Linked DNA regions of Xenopus tropicalis. Each later gene encodes a partner of the first gene's protein in a complex. Links are inferred from orthologs where the notes say so. Each region holds a gene or a part of one and is shown in the gene's direction. Other genes may lie near its edges.

What was found.
Region 2: cul3 (region 1) and kbtbd2 share a complex: the UniProt entries of both Homo sapiens proteins name them as parts of the BCR(KBTBD2) E3 ubiquitin ligase complex. The link is inferred for Xenopus tropicalis from reciprocal best matches to the Homo sapiens genes CUL3 and KBTBD2.
Region 3: the proteins of cul3 (region 1) and kctd5 are in contact, whole or in part, in a cryo-EM structure (PDB 8U83), measured with the Homo sapiens proteins. The link is inferred for Xenopus tropicalis from reciprocal best matches to the Homo sapiens genes CUL3 and KCTD5. Residues at the interface, in NP_003581.1 of Homo sapiens: Thr24, Met25, Asp26, Glu27, Lys28, Tyr29, Val30, Asn31, Ser32, Ile33, Trp34, Asp35, Leu36, Leu37, Asn39, Ala40, Glu43, Asn48, Ser50, Leu52, Ser53, Glu55, Glu56, Leu57, Arg59, Asn60, Ala61, Tyr62, Thr63, Met64; in NP_061865.1 of Homo sapiens: Trp45, Phe55, Leu56, Thr58, Thr61, Arg64, Asp65, Lys67, Ser68, Pro96, Thr97, Tyr98, Phe99, Gly100, Pro101, Leu103, Asn104, Tyr105, Leu106, Arg107, His108, Gly109, Lys110, Leu111, Val112, Ile113, Asn114, Lys115, Leu117, Val122.
Region 4: cul3 (region 1) and klhl21 share a complex: the UniProt entries of both Homo sapiens proteins name them as parts of the BCR(KLHL21) E3 ubiquitin ligase complex. The link is inferred for Xenopus tropicalis from reciprocal best matches to the Homo sapiens genes CUL3 and KLHL21.
Region 5: the proteins of cul3 (region 1) and klhl22 are in contact, whole or in part, in a cryo-EM structure (PDB 8K8T), measured with the Homo sapiens proteins. The link is inferred for Xenopus tropicalis from reciprocal best matches to the Homo sapiens genes CUL3 and KLHL22. Residues at the interface, in NP_003581.1 of Homo sapiens: Thr14, Arg17, Ile18, Arg19, Ala20, Phe21, Pro22, Met23, Met25, Asn49, Ser50, Gly51, Leu52, Ser53, Phe54, Glu55, Tyr58, Tyr62, Leu66, Met118, Asp121, Ile122, Met124, Tyr125, Arg128, Val129, Gln133; in NP_116164.2 of Homo sapiens: Asp73, Tyr74, Arg76, Gly77, Met78, Gly81, Gly82, Leu83, Lys84, Glu85, Leu92, Ile93, His94, Leu117, Gln121, Val125, Cys128, Gln129, Gln131, Pro133, Trp146, Glu150, Asn151, Asp154, Val155, Arg157, Leu161, Phe162, Asp163, Ser165.
Region 6: cul3 (region 1) and klhl25 share a complex: the UniProt entries of both Homo sapiens proteins name them as parts of the BCR(KLHL25) E3 ubiquitin ligase complex. The link is inferred for Xenopus tropicalis from reciprocal best matches to the Homo sapiens genes CUL3 and KLHL25.
Region 7: cul3 (region 1) and klhl42 share a complex: the UniProt entries of both Homo sapiens proteins name them as parts of the BCR(KLHL42) E3 ubiquitin ligase complex. The link is inferred for Xenopus tropicalis from reciprocal best matches to the Homo sapiens genes CUL3 and KLHL42.

What each region holds. Positions count from the first base shown.
Region 1 is NC_030681.2:123,779,715-123,784,005, forward strand, and holds the start of cul3 (cullin-3), read left to right. Parts: upstream 1-1,491; 5' UTR 1,492-1,675; coding exon 1,676-1,741; intron 1,742-4,291. UniProt on the Homo sapiens protein: Core component of multiple cullin-RING-based BCR (BTB-CUL3-RBX1) E3 ubiquitin-protein ligase complexes which mediate the ubiquitination and subsequent proteasomal degradation of target proteins.
Region 2 is NC_030682.2:61,961,583-61,965,082, reverse strand, and holds part of kbtbd2 (kelch repeat and BTB domain-containing protein 2), read left to right. Parts: intron 1-2,844; 5' UTR 2,845-3,109; coding exon 3,110-3,279; intron 3,280-3,500. UniProt on the Homo sapiens protein: Substrate-specific adapter of a BCR (BTB-CUL3-RBX1) E3 ubiquitin ligase complex that acts as a regulator of the insulin signaling pathway, modulating insulin sensitivity by limiting PIK3R1/p85alpha abundance in adipocytes.
Region 3 is NC_030685.2:28,823,122-28,826,621, reverse strand, and holds part of kctd5 (BTB/POZ domain-containing protein KCTD5), read left to right. Parts: intron 1-882; coding exon 883-991; intron 992-2,681; coding exon 2,682-2,773; intron 2,774-3,500. UniProt on the Homo sapiens protein: Its interaction with CUL3 suggests that it may act as a substrate adapter in some E3 ligase complex. Does not affect the function of Kv channel Kv2.1/KCNB1, Kv1.2/KCNA2, Kv4.2/KCND2 and Kv3.4/KCNC4.
Region 4 is NC_030683.2:99,627,038-99,631,230, reverse strand, and holds the start of klhl21 (kelch-like protein 21), read left to right. Parts: upstream 1-1,393; 5' UTR 1,394-1,501; intron 1,502-4,193. UniProt on the Homo sapiens protein: Substrate-specific adapter of a BCR (BTB-CUL3-RBX1) E3 ubiquitin-protein ligase complex required for efficient chromosome alignment and cytokinesis.
Region 5 is NC_030677.2:152,826,019-152,828,649, forward strand, and holds the end of klhl22 (kelch-like protein 22), read left to right. Parts: intron 1-251; coding exon 252-638; 3' UTR 639-2,131; downstream 2,132-2,631. UniProt on the Homo sapiens protein: Substrate-specific adapter of a BCR (BTB-CUL3-RBX1) E3 ubiquitin ligase complex required for chromosome alignment and localization of PLK1 at kinetochores.
Region 6 is NC_030679.2:111,537,627-111,541,064, forward strand, and holds klhl25 (kelch-like protein 25), read left to right. Parts: upstream 1-1,132; 5' UTR 1,133-1,138; coding exon 1,139-2,908; 3' UTR 2,909-2,938; downstream 2,939-3,438. UniProt on the Homo sapiens protein: Substrate-specific adapter of a BCR (BTB-CUL3-RBX1) E3 ubiquitin ligase complex involved in various processes, such as translation homeostasis and lipid synthesis.
Region 7 is NC_030679.2:10,512,130-10,516,410, forward strand, and holds the start of klhl42 (kelch-like protein 42), read left to right. Parts: upstream 1-1,481; 5' UTR 1,482-1,967; exon of another isoform or gene 1,968-1,993; intron 1,994-2,012; 5' UTR 2,013-2,263; exon of another isoform or gene 2,264-2,443; 5' UTR 2,444-2,783; coding exon 2,784-3,613; intron 3,614-4,281. UniProt on the Homo sapiens protein: Substrate-specific adapter of a BCR (BTB-CUL3-RBX1) E3 ubiquitin-protein ligase complex required for mitotic progression and cytokinesis. The BCR(KLHL42) E3 ubiquitin ligase complex mediates the ubiquitination and subsequent degradation of KATNA1.

The sequences.
Region 1 (4,291 bases):
TACTGTTTGGAGTGCAACGCAGGAAATGCCAGAAAAGAGTTGATTAAACTCTCACCTCAATGACTTCAGTCATTTACACAGGAGAAAGGTGTGCTAAATATCTTATGCCCCCCAAGCCTTTAAAGAGACATTTCCATTGTATACAGTTCCACAACCAGCAGGCAGTTCTTCATGGTCTAACAGCTTCCCTGTTTTAGTTACAAGTCTATTAAAAGAGGCAAATAAACATTAAACCCACATCTCACTCTTACTTGCCTTCAGGCTTGGCTTCCAAACACCATAACAAGGTTATATAACAGAAATGTACAAGCATTGGGTTAATAATCACCCTGCTAAAGCTCCAGATCAATTAAACACTCACCCCGGATTTTACTCTCTGGTCTTTAGGCTGCCCCCCTTAGCTTAATAACAAGGTCCCACAAAAACTGGATGGCCTTAATTATTTTCATGATGGTGCACTATAGTGACAAATTATTATATTATGAGTATTATTATATTAAAGGAACAGTAACACCAAAAAAATTAAAAGTTTTTTAACATAAATATAATGTACTGTTGCCCTGCAGTTGTAAAACTGGTGTTTGCTACAGTAACACTACTATAGTTTATATAAATAAGCTGCTGTGTAACCACGGGGGCAGACGTTCAAGCTGATAAAAGAAAGAAAACGCACCGGTTACATAGCAGATAAGCTGTGTAGAATATAATGGGGGTTTATCTGTTATCTGCTAAGTAACCTGTGCCTTTTCTGCTTTGAATGGCTGCCCCCATGGCTACACAGCTGCATTCCTTATATAAACTATAGCAGTGTTTCTGGGGCAAACACACCAGTTGTACCAGTGCAGGGCAACAGTACATTATATTGGAAATGCTTTTATACAATGTTTTGGAATTTCTGTTTCTTGGGAGAGTGGGCATCTTAACATGAGTCTAGCCAAACTAACGTTAATTAAGTCAAAATCAATCTATTTCTTTAATATTGCATGTTTACTTGAAGCTACTTAGTAACCCTATCCATACACCTACGGTAGGTGTGACAAATTCGTTGTATGGCTAGGGTTCCCGGGTTCCAGACGGTACACATTAGTGTCTATATACGCATTACCACCTAAAGAAGCATAAGTGACGACAGGCGTTTTGTATATATACGGAACGCGTCAGCCTCCACGTACGAACTGCGCTCAGAGCGTCACATGACGTCACTTGTCAACGTTCCACGGATTACGTCGCTGTCGCCGGAGCCTGCGCAGCAATGTATGCGCGATGTAATAAAGTTTATTGAGACGAGGTAGGGCTGCGGCTTAGTGACAGCGCTCCGACCGGGGGTGGGAGGAAATGAATGGAAGGGGCGGGGCTGGGTATGGAAGGGCGGGGCTTGTTTGAACTCTCGCGACACACACCCCATTCCCAGGCTCCTCCCCTCGCCGGCCTTGCTGGGAAAGGGATGTTTGTCCGCCATCGCGGAGGAGTTTAGTCAGCGCTGGGTGTTAGGGCGTTCGTATAGTTTTAGACCCCCCTGCAGCCCCGGGGGCCGCATTGAAGGGAGACCAGACTGCCGTAAAGGAGCTCCCGCCGGGTCGCTGACAGGCCGGGCCCGGGGCCTCCTCACACCTACACCCGCCGGGGGGAGACAAGGAGGGGCCCCGGGGCCGAGTGTGAGCGAACAGCCGCCAACATGTCGAACCTAGGGAAAAGCACCGGCAGCCGGAAGGATACCAAGATGAGGATCCGAGCCTTCCCGGTGAGACTCATAGGATACTTGTGGGCAAATCCCCGGGGGCCACATATGGATGGCAGTGTAAATACAGGAGGCGGGCTATAAGTGTCACTAGCTGTGACATCCAACCTATCATCCTGTAGCTCCTCTTCTACCGGATATCCCAGCATCCTCTCCGAGCCAAGTGCAGAGCTGCTAGTGTTTGTGCACAGGTAGCACTGCATTGTAAACATTGGCTGCAATGTGCTTCCAATAAAGGCTCTGTGAGCTGTATGTATGGCATGGAAAGCCCATTGCCTCTGTACAGCTGTGCTAGCTGTGACTGGATCATTTCATCTAGCTGCCTGACATCTGTATGGCCATGAGTATGGGATGCCCAAATTCACACATTATTTATACTAAACTACTACTCCCAGTATCATCTGACAGCGAGCCCCATTGCAGTTTACCATATAGATGTGTATCATGAGCCCCCACTTAAATAAACTAGACAGGGATACCCAAGTAGCCATCCTATAGCCAATACATGGAGCATATCAATGCCAGCTGGAGTTGTGCTTCAGCAGGTGGGCTGCATTAGTTGCCCTGACCTGTACAAATGCATGAGGCCGCTTGCCAAAAGATATATAGACTTGAGTTAATAAAAAGCAGTTCCACCCCAAAACATATTAATAAATGAAGAAGTCATTGTTAGAAACTTGCCATTAGGGTGAAGACACATGGAGCAACTTAGTAGCAGCTACTAGTCATGGCTAATACATGTAAATGTAAATGATCAGCATTGTCTGTTTCTGTAGCCATGACAAGTGGCTGCTACTAGTAGGTCTGTGTGTCTTCACCCTTATAGTTTTCTGTTGTTTATAAGGGTGAAGACACATGGAGCTAATAGCTGTTACTTGTCACGGCTACAACAATAGACAATGCTGATTATTTACCGATACATGTCTCTACGTGTGGTTTAGCAGAGGCAATTCTCAGTATTGTCTATGGCAGAGTATTTTCTGGCATTTACTAGCCATGACAAGTAGCTGCTACTTAGTAACTCATTGTGTTTTCACCCTAAGCTTTTTTTAATCTTGGTTAAAAGTAGTATTTGTTAAGTCCTTTGTGTAGCCTAGTTCTGACTCTTGAACAATGTAGCAGAAGTCTGTTTTCCAGGTCTTTTAATCAACTACTTTCTGTTGAATTATTTCAGGTGTCCAGCAGAGGAAAGAATATAAACTGAAATAGAAAATACTTTACAAACGCAGAAAAAAATTTAATATTGGAAAGTTGCCTCAAAATATAGTTATACAAAAAGCTGTTTGTTTTTTTTTTGGGCATATTTCCACTTTAATAATGTGTACTTAGTTCAGGACTTATGCAGTATATAAACAAGTATTGTACATCCCAGGTAACAGCATATTACAAGTTAGTCATTTATTTCCCTGTTATGTTCTTCTTAAAACCAAAAATTGCTTGGATGAATATGTATATTCTAAGCATGTAAAATATATATGCATTATCCCAGCAGATCATCCACTGTTCTCTGACAGTGTTTCCACAGCTCCTTGTAGCTGCACTGATGGGCAGTGTAGCTACGGAGTGTAAATCAGACTGAGAAATGCAAAAGCCTACATTTTCAGGCTGTTCTTTGCTTGGTGTAGCTGCACTTGGTGGATACACTGGCTGTCACCATAACATTAGCAGTCAGTAAATAGACATTCAGGTTAGAAGATTTGTATGGAATGCAGTAGTGATTTCCTGCCATTTGTTGTTGGTCACTGATCTATGGTTTCGCCAAAGAGAGTGGAGTATTATCCAGTCTGGTGAATATCCCTACACATAAAGATATGCACAGTTATGTATAATGCCGCTTTACAGTCATTCTAATCAGAAGCCAAAACAATGCTGATGGTGGGAAACTGCAGTCCATGCATTTGGCACCTATTGCCTCACTCGCTGTGGACCCTTTACCTGGATAGTCAGGCAGTGAACTCCTTGGGGCATTTTTGTAATGGCCTTCCCAGCCCAATCTGTCCCTCAGATGTCACCTGGGGACACAGGTATAAAGGCATAACATTCTGAGTACATGCTTCCAGTGTTAACTTGGTGTGCAGAGACCTGAGAGTTTATATTGATTTCAGATTTGGAGCTGCTCTTATAGCAGCAAGGTTGTAAATTGGTTGTTAGATGAAGGAAAGGTATTTAATCCTGATCTGCTCATGAAGATATGGGAATGCCAGTGCACACTAAACTAGGCAGTGCACCTGTATGCATGCTTAAAAGAACATTGTACTGGCAGTTCTACAATTAGTGATTCATACACACAGTTGGCAGGCAGTCTCACTGAGCTAAGCAAGCAAGAGAGTTTCCATTCTAAATCTATATCTTGGTGAAGCCAGCCAATTACCTGTTGCCTGAACGTTCATTTACTGTTTATTTAAATGTTTATTTAACATTTAAATTATTTTTGGTATGACTTTGTAGCAGACCAAAGGTATGGTGATCCAAATTATGGAAGAACCTTATCCAGGAAACTCCAGATTCTGTGCAGGTTATATCTTGGTGAAGCCAACAAATTGCATTCTTCCT
Region 2 (3,500 bases), on another chromosome or scaffold:
ATAACTTGTGCTGAATAACTGAGTAGTCTAGAGATCAGCCCAAGTAATGTTGGCTTTTAGATTAGGAAGTGAGAAACTTAACTTAGCTTTTTTTACAATAATAATAGTGTCTTAATATTTTTCAGTGTTTTTTGAAAATTATAGATTTTGGGAGTGAATGAATCTGATTTTAATTTTCTTTCTTGTCCTCTACATTCAGTAAGCTAGATCACTTGCATAAATTCCTCAGCAGTGCCAGCAGCTAATGCTTAGGGAGCATCCTTCATTGAGGCTGATAAGTTGATACATTTTTCAGCAGCTTAGGAAGCCGGAAACCTTTCTTCCTACTGAAAGAACAGGGGATTGGGAAATGAAACCAATTTAAGACTTAAAGAATTTAAGAGTGAAAGGCAGAATTACTGAAAGGCTTTTAGTGATTATAGTCACTTACTCCCTACCACAGTACACCACTCCTCCTCTTCAGAAAAAATGCGCTGGCCTATGGTAGTTTTGAGTGCCACATTGCCATATTGTTCTGGTGTCCCAAGCATCCCCTGCACCTATTGCACAGTACAGGAATTGGGGAATAAGTTATTTCACATACCCCTATATGCAATTTTTTGTAGTATTGCCATTCATTTTCACAGGCAATGAGTAGGTAAAGGATTTTTAAAAGGGTTTACACAGAATATGATTCAACTGTAGGAATTTACATTGTGCTTAATTCCATAGCAACCTGCAAGTTTATCCACCACAGTAGGAGCTCACTATCACCCCCATCCTTCTTGATAAGGGAACTTCTCCTTATGCGATATGATTCTCACTATGTTCACATTCTGTAAATTGTTTAGGTACAGGCAGCTCCATGTTGCCCTTCCTAATTGTAGAATGCTGTTTAGGTATGTGTTATGCTATGTACCATGGGCTCCCCTGCAAGAGGAGACCACAGGGACAGACCAGTACGTAGTCTGCAAACCTTGTTAAGCATGTATGATACCCTTATATTCTGTATTCAGTGCCAGGGTAAACCAAGGATTTTCCCAAAATGTAACTACTGATTTTTCCTGTGACCTCCTATAAGAGGAAACCAACTGCTCACCAGTCGTGACCTCTCCTATAGGTGATCAAAGGAAAAGCTACTGTCACATTTTCTCCTCTAAACACCTATTCGACTGCTTTGTACCCTACTCCAGAGTATTGGATAGTACTGACTTGTTTTGGTATTGTTGTGTCATCCATTTATGTCTTGTTAGAAATGTGGGTTGTTGACAAACATAATTACTTAGTTGGTAAAATTATTTTATTTAACTATATGATATTTATCATTTTTAAGGAGCTCTAACAGCTGTCTGATCAGAGCTCTACATGCATACTACTTGCCATAGATTGCACCCCATTGACATCAGTGGGAAGTGCCAAGGTTGTACTATCTTGGATTCAGGTGATAAACTCTTTAGTGCAGATGTTTCATCCCACTGAGTTCAGTGGGAAGGGTTACATGTCTTTGAGTGATTTATTAATCACAAGTTGCAGCCATCAGGGTCCCATGTTCATTGCCCTTACAATGCAAAAAAGAAAAATGTTTGAGGCAGAAATCTCATTTAGAGTACATCAGGGTTTGGCACATGGCATGTATTTCTGCAGTATGTTTCAGCCAGGTGAAGCAACTAGAAGCACCACTACCAGCATTTCCTTTTCCTTATATTTTATCTGAAAAGGCAAACTAAATCCCTACCCTCTTTGCTGTTAGTATTACCCTCCCCAACAGCCTACTCCCCCTGTCTAAAATACCACATGTTAAGTTTGGTTGTGGTACATCTGCTGCCAGGTTCCTTGGCAGTCCTCTCCATGCACGTTTTGTTGACTGTTTAGGTAGAGGTTTTACCGCAACAGAGACCTTTAAAGGACTATTAATAGAAATTTCATTTATTTCTATTCGGTCCCAAGTCCTTGTTAAAGCAGTGTGTGTTTAGTGGTGTCACTGCCATAAACAGTTATATTTTATATATATTTTTATATATTTTAAAGCGGACCTGTCACCTTAAGAAATAATTTTAAATTGTTTTCTTTTGTGTTTGGCAAGCAAAATAAACTTTACTTACACAGTATAAATTATTTTAATCTTATTATCTTCAGCCATGGAATTCACAATTGCAGCAAGCAGGCAGGGGCCATTTTGTGGACACTGTTATCAAAGCAGGCATTGCATCCTGCCAATATCTTGTTTCTGTGCCAGTACGGGGGGACCTGATGCCCATGTTCATGCACTGGTTACACAGTTACATGGTGAGGAGGGAGGGGGAATGTGAGGGGTGCAGCAACATCTAAGAAGTTCTGAATTGAAAATTAAAGTAACTGTCTGCCCCACCTCTATGCCTAAGGCATAGAGGCGGGGCAGGCATTATATGATTGACAGCTGGGATTTTAAAATGCTTTTATAATGGGTATGGATGTGGTAATAAAAAAAATATTTTGGGCTTTATGTTTAATTTGAAAAGGACTTTTATTATACAGCTTTTTATGTCTGGGTGACAGGTCCACTTTAAATATATGCTTTTTTGGAAAAGGTAAAAGTGCTGGGTAAATCACCATTATATGTAAATAGCATTATGGAATTTTCAGTTTCTGGTCTTGGAACTTTGAGAACATTTAGAATTGCATTTAATTGTAATACTAGGCACTGTCAAAAAACGGACCATAGCCACTAATTTAAATGGAAAGTATTGCTGGGCTCCTGGAGGCACATTCTGCCTAATCTAGCTACATTGGGTCTAGGGTAAATTGGAATTGATGCTTTATTGCACAGAATGTTTCTCTTTTTATTATTATAACTTATTAACATTACTTCTGCTGTTTGTTTTTCAGGTTCTGGGAATATAATGTTAATGGCACAGTCTGGATTTCAAGTAGCCTCTGTCAAGGAGCACTCTGTTAATTAACTCTCAGCAATTACGGGCACTCTGGATTGTGAAATCTAAGATGTATGAAGTACTTTGTTGGATTGGTATTTTAAGGCACTTTTACTAACTGTGCCGCTGTCACTTAAAAAAATTTTTAAGAATTTTTGTCATCTACACAAGGCGCCCTTGTTTTGCTTTTTAGCCAGTGGACATATTAATGGAATGCAGCCATGTCCACCCAGGACGAAACGCAGATCAATACTGAATATGCGGTTTCCTTACTGGAGCAGCTGAAACTGTTCTACGAGCAACAGCTACTGACTGACATAGTATTAATTGTTGAGGGCACTGAATTTCCATGTCATAAAATGGTTTTGGCAACATGCAGCTCCTATTTCAGGTAAGTTAAAAAGCATTGCTATGGAAAGCACTAATAAGTGGTATAGACAATGTACATTGTAGAATGTTCAGCCCTGATTGTTAATGCTATAGGAATATTTGGATGACATGCTTCTGAGCTGTAAACTTGCTTCACATACCTTTGTATTCAATGATAAGGAACCCACTGAGATTTTAAAGCCATACTGACTATGAAAATCCTTTGGAGTATCAGTATTAAAG
Region 3 (3,500 bases), on another chromosome or scaffold:
AGGCAGAATAGGGCAGGCAGATAATGGCACACACAGGCAGGGCAGGCAGAGTATGGCAGGCAGAGTATGGCAGGTTTTGCTGTACTACAACCATTAATATGGGTATGGTCATGTGATAACACGGGTGTGGTTTCAAGTGGGTGCGGTTTCAAAAAGGGGAGTGGTCAAAACTGGCTTCCATTATCGGCCCTCCACCACGTAGGTCGGAAAAATTCCGGCCCTCGGTACCACAGAAGTTGGACAGCACTGCCATATAGGCATCTGAGGATGCATATTTTTAACCTATTTAAAGGATAAATTATAAAAATGGACATCACAGAAAAGCAATCCTTTTCATTGGGCCTTATTTCAACTTTGATATGTATTGGCCCTTTAAAAAAAAAAAAAATCAGTGTTATAAAATAGGATGTCTTGGATTTGTTGGGTAACATTAATGGTCATGTCTGCCATACGTGTTCATCATTTATGCAGCCTTGGAATTTCAACTGTCTAGTTGCTATGGCCCAATTACCCTGGCAGCCAAGCAGCAGCTTGGAAGGCACAATGGAAGATCCGTATGAAAGGACTGGAAAAATAAGATACAAATTAAGAATTACAATGAAATTGAATGGCCCCTAACAACCAGATAGGATTTTTAACTTCAGGCTGGAAATAGGTAGAACAGGAGCTTTGATAATGCAAAAATCATGAAAAATAATGCAAAAGGATGGCAAAAACTTAATTGATTTTAGTCAACATATTTGGTGGACTATGATGGCACCCTGTACGTACTCATTTGTTTCCTACAAAAGAGAACCTTTGAACCCAGGGTGTATATTGTAATGTTTGCCTTCTCAATTTTCACTCCATGTTTTTTTTTTTTTTTTTTTTTTTAACATTTAGGATGAAACGGGAGCATATCTGATAGACAGAGACCCTACATATTTTGGTCCAGTATTAAACTATTTGAGACATGGGAAACTTGTGATAAACAGAGACCTAGCAGAAGAAGGTAAGTGTGCCCTTTTCAGTTATCCGGGTATGCAGATTTGGCTCTGGATAAAGCTGTGCTGATGTTTCACCATTTGGGGAATGGCACTTAGTAGGGGGAAAATACATATCCAGGCGTCTGGCTTGTATCAACAGAATGCTAGTTACAATGTGCAGCCCAGACAAGCATATTATAACAGGCTTAGATTGGAGCAAGAAAAAGGATTTAGTAGGTAGGTAAACAGGAATTTTGTCTTCATAAAACATTTTCTACGATTTATGATCTTGAGCATTGCTTAGGATTCAAACCCTGCTATTTATAAAGTGTTAGTGGATTCGGTGCAGCCCTACTGCTATTTTCTGAAATTTTCAAAAATTTTAAGGATTCGTCCAGTAGCGTGGATTTGGTGCAACCCTAGTTAGAAGTAACTGTGCTAAGAGAATTTTCTTAGATAAGGAATCACCTACATATGCACCTGAGGAAGGCTGGTTTGGCTGAAAACATGTAGTGTAGTTAATTTAAAGGCTTTAAGAGCTAGGGGCGTTCTGCTTGCCATGGATAGAAATGAATACAACTATTTTTATTGGATGCACTGGGAGCCATGACTGAAGCACTGAAGTCTGGCTTGCCATTCAGTAGTATGGGGAGTGAAGGCAGGAGGGAGATTTATATTGTTTGACTGTTCTCTGCATCATCACACTAAAGCCCTGTGTGCCCAAGGCTATGTTGGACTTCATTTACCAATCTATTTCCAATTGCCTGTCCCAAATAAAGTCCTTAATCCAGTGATGATTAATATTGCTGCTAAATGTTTTAACTTTATTTAGTGCTCTGAAAGCCTTTCTTTTTTTAACTTTCTATTCTGACCATGTCTGAACTTGAATTTCCTGTTTACCCGGTACGATTTGAGGGTGTGAGACTTGCATTTACCCTATAATCATACTAGCAACCACCCTTTGTGTGTCTGGGACTTTCTATTCTATTTGTCTCCAGAATGAAGTTTTCATTGCTTGTCTTACTGGCGTTCAATCAAATGCCTGGATCTATTGAACATTGGTCCACAAACAGCTGATTTTTATTTCTCCATGAAAGGGATTGTTTACCTTTTAAATTAACCAAGTATGACATAGAAACTGATATTCTGAGACCATTTCTAATTTTTTATTTTTGACTGTTTCAGATGTTTAGCTTTTTGTTCAGCAGTTCTCCTGGTTGGATTTTCAGCAGCTGTCTTGTTGCCAAGGTCTTATTTACCTTAGCAACCAGGCAGCAGATTGTATGAGAGACTAAAATATAAACGACAGGGACTGAATAGACGGATAAGGATTAATAATTGGCAATTATAATAAAACTGTAAGCTCAGAGATTTGGCTGCGGGGGTCATTGGTCAAATGGATCCCCATTTGAAAGCTGGAATGATGTAAATAAGGAATGCAAATAATGCAGAAATTTTAAAAAATTAAGACCAATTGCAAAGTTGCTAGGGATGAGACATTCTATAACATACTAGAAGTTAACTTAAAGGTGAACAACCCCTTTATTTTGGGTGTCCAGTAGCTATGGGGTGGCTTTTTAAAAACATTGGGCCAAGCAGGTTCCTACTACTGAATCTTCAATTTCCTAGGTACATTCAAATAAAGATTTTTACCTTTTTGCAGAAGTTTATTTTTCTGAAATCTTCACTATTCCTGCTAAATCTGCTTTCATATAGGTGTTCTGGAAGAAGCAGAATTCTATAACATTACATCGTTAATTAAACTAGTTAAGGACAGAATACGGGAAAGAGACAGCAAAACGTCACAGGTAAGGCTCACTGATATTTTGGCGACACATTTCCTGTAAATGTTTCTAAACATAGATTTGCTTTAAAATGTCTCTTGTGCCCTTTATTCTTTGTGCACGGTCGGTGTAACAAGACCTAAGTGTTGACGAATAGGAATGTTTGTTTTCTTCCCCTCTCTGAGACTGTTGCTCATATCTCACGTGGGTTCCAGTATACACTTTCAGATTATAAGCCTTTACCCTTGGCTTATTGTCACCTTAGGCTTTCGGATCAGTGCCAGATAAGAACACTGCACTGGCATCTATTTTTAGTCAGTACAGTATCTTGTGTGCTTAAGTATGAGGTCAACTGGGGATGTATCACATCCTTTACTTCTCTACCATTCAGCCCACTTGTCAGTTCACAAAAGTTTATTGATGCTTTATACTTTAGAGAATGAGTAATGCCTAGAAATGATGTCTTCCCCCCCCCCCCCCCCCCTTGTTATTAGCATCACCATTTTGATGGTTGCTATTTCAGTGTATCCAACCATTGCACAGCTGCAAAACTCATTATCTGCATGGGAGAGTTGTCATTAAGCAAAACTTTGTTTCTGTGCTTTCAAAGCAACGTTCCATCTCTGCAAATGTTTTTTTATGGTCCTTCGTGTTTATTAAGTCTGCTTTTACATACTTTACCAATTTGCCAAAGATATTTGCTTTGGGCCTCCATCCCAAGGTGTGTAGTGGCGCCCGTAGAGAAAGCTTA
Region 4 (4,193 bases), on another chromosome or scaffold:
AAGCAAAACTGATGGCGAAAATCAGTGTGTCATTTTTTTGACCCTGCACTGTTTTGCACTCTAAACCAGAGCTTACTTGTAATATAGTAAAGACATGGATTTAGCTATGGTTTAGATCAGTGATCCCCAACCAGTTGCTCACCAACCCCTTGGATATTGCTCTCAGTGGCCTCAAAGCAGGTGCTTATATTTGTATTCCTGACTTGGAGGCAAGTTTTAGTTGCATAAAAACCATGTGAACCACCCAATAGAATCTCCTGTATGCTGCCAGTCCACGTAGGGGCTACCAAATAGCCAATACCCCCATGTACATTTCCCATGCTTGTGTTGATTCCCAACTCTTTTTACATTTGAATGTGGCTTACAGGTAAAAAAGGTTGGGAATCCCAGGTTTAGAATGTGAGTCACATATGGGTTATCTAGTCATTCCCATGTCAGTGTCAACTACTAGACTTCAGATTGTTGCTGGGTGACTTTCTTGTACTGTAATGACTAACACATTACACAATAACTATGAACTTGCACCGGATATGGAAGCAGCAGTTTTTCACAATGGTGGGGGGCAGTAACCAATAATTTGACAATACTGTCCACAAACCAAAGTCTAGCCAATTCTGAATCTTTTTTTTTTTTGTTTCTTTAAATTTACTTCTATAATGCACAATATTTACATAGCACCGATATGCAACACATCCTAGCAAAGAATAAGCACCCCAGCAACCTACACAAACACAGTGAGAACACTTAAACTTTACTCATATATTGACCCCTTATATGGTATCTGTGCACTGATTGGTGCAGGGTTGCACAATGTATGGCCACTTAAAGCTAGCCATACATGTATCGATAAAATCGTACAAAACCATCAAATTTTTACACACTCAATTTCACAGTCAATTTTAGCAACCAGCCTGTACGATCTTAGATACATGCCGTATTTGCGTAGTAAAAGTTTTAACATAGTTTTGGCACCCATCTTCTGGGTAGGCAGAAAAAATCCATATGCAAATGTCCAGTATAAAGTTAATTTGCAGCTGAGACTTGTGAATGCCTGGCTGCTCTGCAGGGTGCCATGAATGTGCGACTTAGGATTTATTTAGGGCAAGAAGTAGAGTTAACTGCCTTTGCATACCAGGACAATGCTGTTAATTTAGCCTGGTTTCAAATATCTGAACTGCGCTCACAGGGGGGGGAGTCATTTATTATCTAATACTAAAAGAGTATGTTTCAAGAGGGAAGAGGATGCCTTTTTGCGCTATTTTGTGCTTACAGTTTGTTATGGTACAGTTGAGTCCTGTCAGACACTTATTTTGGGACTGTATTTTGTGTAAGTCATGGAAACATATTAGTGATTCCCCTACAGAGTTTGACAATGCAGCGATCCTACCACCACAACACCATCTCCCTCCATCAGAAATAGCTTGTGTGGAGAGGAATGTGAACAGGATTCTGCCTTGCTGTAACCCTTAGGTATCCCAGGACTTCTGCAGGGAGCAGCTCTGTAAGTACTAAAATCCTACTGAGCACAATGAACAGTATGTAATAAGTGTAGAATCTGCACATAAATGTAACAAGTGTGTTTCTTAGCTTTAATTGCATCATCCTACCACAGTACTGTAAATGACATCAGAGACAGGTTACATATGGTATTCATATTATGCCCATGTTTGTAGAAGTAGTATGATGTATCTATATATATATACGCACATATACACTATGCATGACTGTATATTCATATCCAGCTTGTGGTAATCTGCTGGCACAGTACCAGGCACTTTGGAGCTGGCTGCCAAAACCGATAACCTTAGAGCTACAGGGCTTGGTGTAAAGAATTTAGAGTAGGGACCTAGACATAGTAATTGAAAATGTACACGCGTCTGATTTCCCCTTTCTTCCTTCTGCATGTATATTGCTTTTCCAATGCAATGGTTAAAACTTTCTAGGTAAACATGTCAGGGGTGCATAACAGTAAAGTTTGATTTTGGAGACATTTCTTAGTTGTCTTCCACGTCACATGGATATTATACACAGCCAAGTTATGGCAGTTGTTTTGGTGTTTTACGAAATCACAATATAAAAGGTAAATTATTGTAAAACTTTGCCAACTTGCTGGTGCTAAAAAATAGGTGATGATGAAATATGTCACATCTTTTCATGCCACATCATTTATTAGTAAAGCTTACTGGTATGGGTTTAGATTATTCTTCCGAAGAAAGACTTGTTTATCTCTATGTAAGAAAAGCCTAGGAAACTAGGAAGCCTGAACCAAGGGTTCCTATAAATCCAAGCTTATATAGCTTCCAACTTAAAGTAAATATACACCCGGATTTTCAAAATGTAATTTTTCAATTTGCAAATATTTGAGGGAGTTGTTCCTAAAGCAGGGGGAATCCTTGACATGAGTAACGTTGGATCTTGACCCGCCCTTCTCCCAACCAACACCCCCCTTTTTACCTGTTTACTTACCATCCCCAATAAACAACACGGACACCAATTCTTGGGATAAAATGGCCGCAGATAATTTATTAACAACAATCAAAGTTTTAATTTAAAACATAACATATATAACAAATGTGAAACAACATTTCAAACATAACACAAATGTTTGTATAACAAACAAACCAACTTTTAAATAACCAAACACTGTAACAATCCAATAACTGCGCAGCGCAACTGGCGCTGCCAGCTGCCCTTCTAGCCCGGAACCAACTACCCAACAAAACTCACCTCCTAATCCACTTTCTTACCCCTGAGGTTCCAAGCATGCCAGCCCCAATTAACTATAAAACTCCCCTCCTAACCCAACCATTGTTTTCCCCCAACTTAATCACCCCGCCGACGACACTCCGCTATCTCCACCTCTATAGGGAGGGAGGGTGGGCGTTTTACTATGCTGACTAAAATGGATTGAGAAGCGGGAACAGTTACCAGCCTTTTATACCCCTTACAAATCAACCAATCACCTGCAACTGGGGGTGGCTACGTCTTACCAACGTATCTGTCATGCCCCTGCTTCCCTACGTTTTACTACGGGTCATTGGGCTACTTTCTGAATAGGGTGCCCTCAATTCCTTGCTGTTCTGGGATACCCCTTCTGGGCTGTGCATAGAGTCATGTGAAGCCAGGTTATTTAAAAAAAAAAAAAAAAAGACCAAATTTGCCAGCTTTTGTATAGTACAACACTGCAGCTTCATGCCTATTGTTTAGTACCACTAGCAACAAGGATGTAAATATAGATTGTGCTGCTATTGGCCCTAGGAGCTGGTGCCCACAGCATTTGGGAAATATGCCATCCAAATATTTCTCTTACCCTTTCTAGATCCACAGATGTCTCTCATTCTAGCTATGCTAGCCTAGAAATAAGAAACTTGCAAAGGAAGAACTCTGAAACTTAAAAGCTTATTATTAAAAAATATACAGTATATCCTGCTGCCCCCCCCCCCCCCCCCCCAATCCAAGTTTTCTATTGACTGGAATGAGGTAGAATGAAATATATAGCCCTATGCAACTGGCAAGAAATGACTATATTTACAAAAAAGATGTTTATATATTATCAATTGCATCTACTAAAGCCAACATTAGGAATAATTAACATCAAGTGTAAGTTAAATGTTTTTCAGATGCTATTGTTACCAAACACCATGCATGCTTTACAACATTTGGTGACTGTCCAACAGAGAACCCTGTAATTACTGGCTGCTTAAATCAGGCCACTGAGCCATAGGCACTCTGATGGTAGCAATTTGATGTCCTGGGCTTCTATTTGAGGGCTCCACACAGAAACCAAACTGGAAGAGACTAAACTGTGTGCCCAAAGTATCCTGTGGGTAGATAGTAAGTTGGGTTGAAAAAAGACATACGTCCATCATGTTCACCCATAATGCCTATATATAACCTGCCTAACTACTAGTTGATCCAGATTAATTACTTTAAACATCAGACAAATATCACATAGTCCCGAGACTCCAAAAAAGCTATAGACAGTGTTTTTCCCATTCACATGAAGTGGCTAGCAGTGGGTAAGTTTTCACCAAAATTTTCCACAAAAAACTGAAAGTTTAAAACACGCAAGCATATCACTGTGTTGCTGGCGTGTAAACAAACAAAAAAAAAATAATTATTATAATAATGTACCAAATGCTATCACCCTCTATGAGGTATCAACCGTCACCAGCATGGCTGAACATCCCAGA
Region 5 (2,631 bases), on another chromosome or scaffold:
GACTTCCCCCTTGTGAATTTTTTATGACCGGTTTACTTAAACGCATAGTGACTCATTTGAGGCTTAACATTTAGCACCTCCATGTAACTACAACTTTCCTTGTCCTTTAAAAGCTGGACACCCTATATGGTAGTGCCAATTAAAAACCTAATGAGTGAGACTTGACGGACCAGCTTGCTTGATTATGCATTGTAGCTTGCTTGCCTCGTATAATTTGTGTTTTTTTTTATTTTTTTATTTTCCTGTCCAAGGTTGCTTGTTACAGTCCGAAAACAGATCAGTGGACTCTTGTCAGCCCTCTTCCTGCAGGGCATGGTGAACCTGGTATTGCTGTACTAGCCAAGAAAATCTTTGTTTTGGGTGGAAGGTCACACAATCAGGGGGATCGAACAGACTATGTGCATGTGTACGAAGCAGAAAGGGACTACTGGGAGGATGGTCCAAGGCTGGAAGATGACATTTCAGGAATGGCTGCTTGTGTCCTCACCTTGCCCAGGTCTGTGCTTATGGATACTGATGTGTGGACTCAGGAGATGTACATGCAGTACATGGACCCTGTGCAAAATTTGGCTGACAACGCTTCTGAAGTGATGAGTGTTTCAGACTGGGAAGACCTGGATAATTCTGGTGAAGACTGAAATCTTTCTTCAGTCATGTGTAAGTGGTGTTGTACATGGACTGATTATTCCTCCTTTCAAGAGCATCTGGCACTTTTGCAATGTGCATGTTCTTTCATGAGAGGGTTTAATAAAGTGCAGGGATTCAGGTTTTTGTGCACAAAATGCCTTGCTCTGTTTTTTGCAGTGCATTAGCTTTTGATTTGATTGCACCAAATCCCGGTGCCTTCAAGACATCTTCATGCAGAAATCCCTTTTTCTAGCGCTTTCTCTAGTGGGCTGGGCTGGCTGTTGCTGTTTGGATCATACTAAAATAGTGACACCATGCAGTGAGAAAAGATCTTCTTAATCTGCTTTAGGGATAAGACTTGTTAAATAATATTTGAAAAACTTGCCAAATGTACAAAAATTTAATTTTATTTCTCTTGTATATGTCTATATATAATTGTATGTCAGCACAGTTGTCTTTTGCATATGGAAAGTGCACAGGGGTGGGGATGGAATGCAGGAAAGCTGGGGCCCTAGATTCATAACACACTACAGAAATAAAGGACATCCGACATACTTCCTACCTGTTGCTAAATTACTGCTTCCATCCCTCTTGCTGGTAGTTGTACCTCAGCAAATGCACTATCTGCCTAATAATGTTACTTCTAAGCTGCTTGTTTGTGCACCAGTGTTGACAAAATATTGTGGAGTGAACAGGAAAATAAACACAGCTTACATGAAACTGCAGGGGGTATTGCTGCCCAGTCTTGCACGAGGTGCAGTGAATATTAATTGGTTACAAAAAAAAAGATCTTTTGATGAATTGCCAAAATGTTTTAATGTATATTCATTCTTAAATCAAATTTGATTCTCTTCCTTATATTTTAGCAACAAATCATCTCATGTTTATGTTAAAAAAAGGCAAACAAAAAGAGTGGATCATGTCATGTCCTTGGAAATTAAAGGAACAGTATCGGCAAAAAAAATGGGTTAAAATAATCAAAATATAATGTACAATTGCCCTGCGCTGGTAAAGGTTGTTTTCTTCAGAAAGACTGCTATAGTTTATATTAACAAAGCTGTTGTGTAACCAAGGGGGCAGCCATTTAAGCTGGAAAAAAAGAAGAAAAGACACAGGGGTTACATAGCTCTGTAGAATACAATTGTGTTTTACCGAGCTTATCTATTATCTGCTATGTAACCTGTGCCATTTAGCCCTATTTCAATTAGAATAGCTGCTGCTAGCTTTAAACTATAGTAGGATTTCTGAAGCAAACACACTAGTTTTACCAGTGCATGTATTTGAATTACTTTGATATGCTATCATGTTTTGATGTGACTGTTCCTTTAAGATTTAAACATAATGGCAGCAGCAAAAACTTGTTTCAGTGGGCATTGGTGAGAATTGCCCAGGATATCCCTCTTGATTACCCATCATGGCTCACAGGTAGTTTGGCTTTAAGTGTGCAAACTTGGTCTTAAGACAAATCCACTGTAAAAAATATATTAAAATCATGTTGTTTTCATAATGTGTTTGAGTTCTACCTTACTTGCATGGATACATTCTTCTATCTGCACTATCTCTGTTATCTTCTTTGCACCAAATGAAATCTGTACATTACTCAAGATTCTCTTCAGGCAAAGCCCTGACACATGGAGATTTTTAACTGGAGAGTGTAAAGGTGGCCATACACGGGCCGATTGTAGCTGGACTGATTCGGCAGCTTATCTGCCCATGTAGGGGCAGAATCGATGGCCATAGCCGACCGATATCTGGCCTGAAATTGGCCAGATATCGATCAGGCAGGTTAAAAGATTCAGTCAGATCAGGGACTGCATCGTCTTGTTGATACGGTCCCTAACCGACTGTGCCATTGCCGCCGTTAGAATTCGATCATTTGGCCTACATTTTCCCAAATTCCCCAACCCGTAGGTGGGGGTATCGGGAGAAGATCCGCTCGTTTGGCGACCTCGCGCACCTTAACTTTTATGATGGGAACAATGTTTTGATATACTTGTAATCTTG
Region 6 (3,438 bases), on another chromosome or scaffold:
AAAAGTACGTCTCACTCATGGCATAAGCTTTCCATAATCTTCCCAGCACATCTCATCATCCAGTTCTCTATCCGTTCTCTATCAGTTCTCATGTATCTGTGCTTGCACAGATTCATCCCATGTAAGTAGCCCCTAGGGTTAAGGTTAGACTGTGGAGTACCAAGCATAGAAGGATGATAGAGGAGAGCTGAGGGGTAGGAGAGTGGGTCACTGACAATTGAAGGAGAATAAGTAGAGGGCAAACAATAGGCAATGAGTTGTGTAGGGGGCACATCAAGACAGTAACAGTTGGGGGCATATTTATTATGCTGTGTAAAAAACAGCCAGAACTTGTTGAAAATAACAGCGTAAAATCTGGCGTTTGGACTGCGATCTTCTCTGTTTAATTTACACAGCTTTTTACGCAGCAAATTTGTTTTACACAGCTTAATCAATATACCCCTATGAGTACGGGACAATGCATAAAAATGCACATTACATATTTCACCGCTGCTTGTGCCCTAAGCTACAGAAATACACACTTGTGGAACACTCACTCACTTACTCTGAATACTGCACTGTATTTATAGGGTAAGTGGTGGCCACATCCTGGTTATCTTTGGAACAGGCTCTAACTTACCTGTCATTTGTATGTGAAGGCTACGGAGAGCTGGGAGTGCCCTGTACTTACCACCTGCCTATAGACTCTACACCCTGTGTTGGATTCCTAATCTGGTGCAGGCCATCATGACCCCAGGCACAAGGGATAATTGCATGGGTGCTAAGGGGTGCAATTTTTCAGATTTTTGAAGATTAGCAGAATGGCTCATACTACCCTATATGACTATAATGATCCCCTGACTCAGCATACAGTTTCTGCAGCACAGGGAAGCAGTATATTATATTATGTTTACATTTGATTGATTTTTCTGGATGTTGCTGTGGAATATTGCCCAGCGTAGCAAAGCTGAGTCTTGTGGGAAAAAAAACATATGTCAATATGCCTTTCGTGCATTGTTTTTAAGTAAATTTTGCTTTTCTGGGCACATTTCTAAGTAATTCTATTTTAAAATAAACCTACCCTTCTTGAATAAAAATGCATCTGCTAGAGCGAATAATTCTAACTTCCTACATTTTTTTTTCAGCCATAAATGTCATCATGTCTGTCACCGTCCATGAAAATCGCAAATCACGCACCAGTACAGGATCCATGAATATCTCATTATACCATAAACTCTCACACTCTGACTGTGTTTTAAACCACCTAAACACCATGCGAAAACAGCGGCTCTTTACCGACGTGACACTGTGGGCTGGAAACAGATCTTTCCCCTGTCATCGCGCGGTGCTGGCAGCCTGCAGTCAGTATTTTGAGGCCATGTTCAGCAATGGCTTGCGAGAGAGCCTGGATAACACAGTAAATTTCCATGACAGCCTTCACCCAGAGGTACTGGAGCTCTTACTTGACTTTGCTTACTCTTCCAAAATTATCATTAATGAAGAAAATGCCGAATCTCTTCTGGAAGCTGGAGATATGCTTCAGTTTCATGATATACGGGATGCAGCTTGTGAATTTTTGGAGAAGAACCTTTATCCCTCAAATTGTTTGGGAATGATGATTTTGTCAGATGCACATCAGTGCCAGAGACTGTACGAGCTGTCCCTGAGAACGTGCTTATCCAATTTTGCAACTTTGCACAACACCGAAGACTTCTGCAGTCTTTCAAAGGACATGGTGCTTGACTTGATCTCCAGCGATGAACTTGAGATTGAGGATGAGCAGGTTGTTTTTAATTCTGTACTACACTGGGTAAAGGAGGACTTGGACAAAAGGAAGGATTACTTTCCAGAACTGTTGAGAAAGGTAAGGCTGGCTTTGCTCCCGTCTGAATTACTGAAGGAAGCTGTGGTTTGCGAGGATTTAATTATTGCAGATGAGAGGAGCAAATTAATCATGGATGAAGCTGTTGTCTGCAAGAAGAAGATACTTCAGAACGATGGAGTAGTAACAAGTCTGTGCGCCAAACCACGGAAAGCAGGTCACACTTTACTTATTTTAGGAGGACAGACTTTTATGTGCGATAAGATTTATCAAGTTGATCACAAGGCCAAAGAAATTATTCCAAAAGCCGATCTTCCAAGTCCAAGGAAAGAGTTCAGTGCCTGTGCCATTGGGTGTAAGGTCTATGTAACGGGTGGACGTGGTTCTGAAAATGGGGTGTCTAAAGATGTTTGGGTTTATGATACGATCAATGAAGAATGGTCAAAGTCAGCCCCAATGCTGATTGCAAGGTTTGGGCATGGCTCTGCTGAACTGGAGAACTGCCTTTATGTCGTTGGAGGGCACACAGCAGTTGCGGGAGTTTTCCCAGCCTCTCCATCTGTGTCATTAAAACAAGTTGAAAAGTATGATCCATTAACAAATAAATGGACGATGATGGCACCATTGAGGGATGGTGTAAGTAACGCAGCTGTGGTCAGCGCTAAGCTTAAGCTCTTTGCCTTCGGAGGCACTAGCATACATCGAGATAGAGTCTCCAAAGTGCAGTGTTATGACCCTGATGAGAACAGATGGAGTATTAAAGCCGAATGCCCACAGCCATGGCGTTACACTGCTGCAGCAGTGCTAGGAAGTCAGATTTTTATCATGGGGGGTGACACGGAATTCACAGCAGCTTCTGCATATCGCTTTGATTGTGAAACCAACCAATGGACAAGAATAGGAGATATGACTGCAAAACGTATGTCGTGCCACGCGTTGGCTTCAGGGAATAAAGTGTACGTGGTAGGAGGTTACTTTGGGACGCAGCGGTGTAAAACGTTAGACTGTTATGATCCAACTTCAGACTCCTGGAATAGCATCACCTCAGTGCCTTATTCTCTTATACCGACTGCTTTTGTTAGCACTTGGAAGCATTTGCCGGCATGAGCAGGTCTGTAGAATAAAGAGCTAAACGGATGCCTTCTAGTTTGTTGGTGCTCTGTCAGTTTCCTGCATCTGCCTTCATGGTGCAAAAACACTTCTAGATCTAGCGGCGTGATTTAAAGGAAGCTCACCATCAAATGAACTTGTAATTTATGCAGCTATGCAATTGGTCTTAATCTTTTATTTCCCTTTCAATTTTGTGTCTTTCTAGAGTTAATCTTTAAATGCTCAGGTCAATAACCGCGGCCAGGCTGGAAAGGTTACTTGGTTATTTTTCTCTCTTTCCAGTCCTTCCCGCATTCAGCCTTGATTCTGACTTTGAAGTCGGTGCTAGGGTCACTGACCCATTCAACCAGATAACAGTAACAGTCAATAATAATACCAGGATTCTCCAGCTGGGGCCTGCAGTCCAGTGGTGTTCCAGTAGAAATTGATGGCCTTTTTAATTGACTTAACTATATGGCAATTATTTTTATTATAATCTGGCTCCTGAACATGTGCCATGGTGCGCAATTAGTCCACTGTATGAAGAA
Region 7 (4,281 bases), on another chromosome or scaffold:
TCCTCCAGTTCCCCCCCCCGGCATCCTCCAGCTCCACTCCACAGCATCCTGCAGCTCCCCACCCCAGCATCCTACAGCTCCCTTCCCAGGATCCTCCTCAACATCCTCCCAACAGCATCCTCCCACCAGCTCCCCCCCAGCATCCTCCAGCTCCACTCCCCAGCATCCTGCAGCTCCCCACCCCAGCATCCTTCAGCTCCCCACCCCAGCATCCTCCAGCTCCCCCCAGCATCCTCCAGTTCCCCTCTGCATCCCACCCAGCATCCTCCAGCTCCACTCCCCAGCATCCTGCAGCTCCCCCCAGCATCCTCCAGCTCCCCCCCAGCATCCTCCAGCTCCACTCCCCAGCATCCTGCAGCTCCCCTCAGCATCCTCCAGCTCCCCCCAGCATCCTCCAGCTCCCCCCAGCATCCTCCAGCTCCACTCCCCAGCATCCTGCAGCTCCCCCCAGCATCCTCCAGCTCCCCCCCAGCATCCTTCAGCTCCCCCCAGCATCCTCCAGCTCCACTCCCCAGCATCCTGCAGCTCCCCCCCCAGCATCCTCCAGCTCCCCCCCAGCATCCTCCAGCTCCCCCCCAGCATCCTCCAGCTCCCCCCCAGCATTCTCCAGTTCCCCCCCAGCATCCTCCAGCTCCACTCCCCAGCATCCTGCAGCTCCCCCCAGCATCCTCCAGTTCCCCCCCCAGCATCCTGCAGCTCCCCCCAGCATCCTCCAGCTCCCCCCCAGCATCCTCCAGCTCCCCCCAGCATCCTCCAGTTCCCTCCCAGCATCCTCCAGCTCCCCCCAGCATCCTCCAGTTCCCCCCCAGCATCCTCCAGCTCCCCCCAGCATCCTCCAGTTCCCCCCCAGCATCCTCCAGCTTCCTTCCCAGCATTCTCCTCAACATCCTCCCAGGTAGGGAGGGCTGTTAATGTAAGTCATTTCTATTTGACGTTCCTAAACCTGAGTGTCCCCTCCCAGCCGGTCAGTTATAGCTCCTAATGCTAACCAATAATGGCTGCACAAATATGGCCGCCGCCGCCTCATAGAGGGACATGGAGACCAGATAGGTAATATAAATGCATTGGGCAAACACTTCTATGGGCAAATAAATAAATGTACAAACAGTGTCATGACAGTTGCAATAAAGGGTTTAATTTCTGGTGTCAGTATCTCTTTACGGCTTTTACAGCTAAAGTCTCTCAGTTGGGCGATAAAGGCTGAACTCCAACTACTATGTAATATCTGCTAGGGTTGCCTGTTCCCATGGGGATGGCGTCTGGCAGGGATATAGCCCTCCCATAGAGAATCCCAGCTGCACATATAAGGCCAGTGTTTATGGGGCATGGGGGGGAAAACACAATATGGGAAGGGGAGGGGCCTGTCTATGAAGCAGACGCTTCCATGAGGAGGTGCGTCTGGCAATGGGGGCGTGTCTTTGCGCGGCTTGTGGTTATAAGAGGGGCAGGAGGCGTGTCAAGTACGTGTTTGCGTATAAGTGGGCGTGGTCCCTGGCACGCAGGTGGAGGGGACTGGGTTTTTTACAAGCTTCTGCACATTCAGGAAGTGAAATGCCTGGATGGTCAGTTTGTATTGGGGCGTTCTCTCCATGTTGGGTAAACGGAAAGACTGGGCAAGGGGGGCAAGTGGGGGCAGCCAATGGGGCTAGAGCTGCTGGCACAATGAGCTGAATGGACAAGCTGCACAGATGGGATTCTCTCTCTTTCTGGACTTTCTTGTTACTCAGTTTGCTGAGCTGAAACGGGACCGGCTGATGGGTGGGGAATCCAGGTCCATTCTCTAGTTGGGCAACTGTTCCTGATTGGAGGGTGTTGCTTCTGGGCTGTTATTTTTGGAGTATTTTTCCAAGAGATTCCTTAATTGTCATGGGTGGGGGGTGTAAGGAACATTGGGCATTTCCTTTATTGGTTCTCTGCCTGATATTCTTATGCCCAGAGTGGGTGCTTGGTGCCCAAGGTTCTTGTAGGTATGGGTGTTTGATGCCCTGATTAGGTGCCCAAAGTTCTTGTAGGTATGGGTGTTTGATGCCCTGATTGGGTGCCCAAGGTTCTTGTAGGTATGGGTGTTTGATGCCCTGATTGGGTGCCCAAGGTTCTTGTAGGTATGGGTGTTTGATGCCCTGATTAGGTGCCCAAGGTTCTTGTAGGTATGGGTGTTTGATGCCCTGATTAGGTGCCCAAGGTTCTTGTAGATATGAGAGTTTGATGCCCTGATTAGGTGCCCAAGGTTCTTGTAGAAACAAGGGTTTGATGCCCTGATTAGGTGCCCAAGGTTCTTGTAGGTATGGGTGTTTGATGCCCTGATTAGGTGCCCAAGGATCTTGTAGGTATGGGTGTTTGATGCCCTGATTAGGTGCCCAAGGTTCTTGTAGAAACAAGGGTTTGATGCCCTGATTAGGTGCCCAAGGATCTTGTAGATATGGGTGCTTGATGCCCTGATTAGGTGCCCAAGGTTCTTGTAGATATGAGAGTTTGATGCCCTGATTAGGTGCCCAAGGATCTTGTAGATATGGGTGCTTGATGCCCTGATTAGGTGCCCAAGGTTCTTGTAGATATGAGGGTTTGATGCCCTGATTAGGTGCCCAAGGTTCTTGTAGGTATGGGTGTTTGATGCCCTGATTAGGTGCCCAAGGTTCTTGCAGATATGAGAGTTTGATGCCCTGATTAGGTGCCCAAGGTTCTTGTAGCTATGCGGTGCACAAATAGTGTGATGTTTTTATGTTGGTAGATCCCTTTTCTGGTTCCATTTCTGGGTTCTTGAAGGCATCATGCATGTATAAGTGATGTCCTCTGTAGAAACAGTTCAGATACTGTTGGGTTCTAGGTGTTACTCTGTACCTAGGGAACAGCTGGTGGCTCAGAGTGGTTTCTTCCAGTCACTGTTCCGGTCGGGCATGAGGGAAAGTCATGGGGAACCAGTGACTCTGCATGGGCTGACCCCTGAGGGCCTGGAAGGGGTTCTCCGCCACATCACTGGGGGTTCCCTTCTAGAAGCTCAGGGGGGTTCCGAGTTTGGTTTCCAGGTTGTTTCCTTGGAAGATCCAGAACGTTGCTCACTGGAGGATGAATCAACATGCGGCCTGGAGTCATCGGGCCCTTTACAGGCTGTGGTGGAAGCCGCATCCTACCTACAGGTCCAAGGTCTTCTGTCTCTCCTGCAGTCCTCCATGTCCCTGGACACGTGTCTGGATATCCTGGAGGTGGCGCAGTTGCATGGCCAGTGGGATTTGGCTTCGGCAGCTCTACATTTCATGGCTGCTCATTACCTTTCTATGTTGAGGAGGGAAGACTTCCAGCAGAGCCCAAGGTCCCTCAGAACTCGTGTCCTGGAAGAGAGGCTGAGAGGAACCCCAGCCCTTATGGTCCTGTCCCAACAGGGCCCTGACAACTGGGTGCTACTAAGGTACCTGGAAGGGGGAGGCGGTTGGCAAGTCATGACCGGAGAGGTCCCACAGAGTATGCTGAGGGTGCAAGGCTATGGGGCTACCACACTCCATAACTACCTGTTTGTGGCTGGAGGTAGGAGGGACAATGGGCAAGAGATCAGTGCCGTGCACTCGTACAACCCGAGCAACGGGTGCTGGACCCAGGAGCCCTCCATGAACCAAAAGAGGTAATCAGGTGGGGAATATTGTTTTCCTTAGTCACTTTGCTTTTCTGTTCTGGTTCTGTCCTATGAAGCTATGGCCACTGAGGAGCCCAGGATGCCAGTCTTTTATTCAGACAATTGCCTGGTTGCTTGGTCAGTGACCCTAGCAACCCCTAACTAGTTTAAAGTCTTATTTTACAGGTTATCTTCAAATCTGTCATTCACACCGCTTCCTGATTGCTAGGGGGAAATATACTGCTTGTGTTTGAGTAGCATTAGCTGTGGTGACTAGTGGACCAGGGCATTTTGACTGCTGGTGTTTTTCACCTGTGAAGCTACCGCAGGCCTTCGATTTCTGTGCACAAAATAAAATATTTTGTGGTTTACTTCCCCTTTACATACCAGGTGCAAGGTTCCACTCCAAGTTCTAAACTTGGATGAACTCATATAATAAAATAAATTTATATCCTGAGTCCTGTATTGAGAATCTAAGCACACCTTCTATTTTATCATCTATAGGAACCATATTAATTCCCCTTGTTATTGAACTACAACTCCCATCATCCTGTCAAACTGACATGCAAGGGAAATAGCAAGGTGCTGAATTGTGCTTAGTACAGGGGAATCCCTATGTGCCATAGTTTTATGGTATCTCTCTGTACAGGCTATGAGCAAACTTAGGGGGCTGTTCA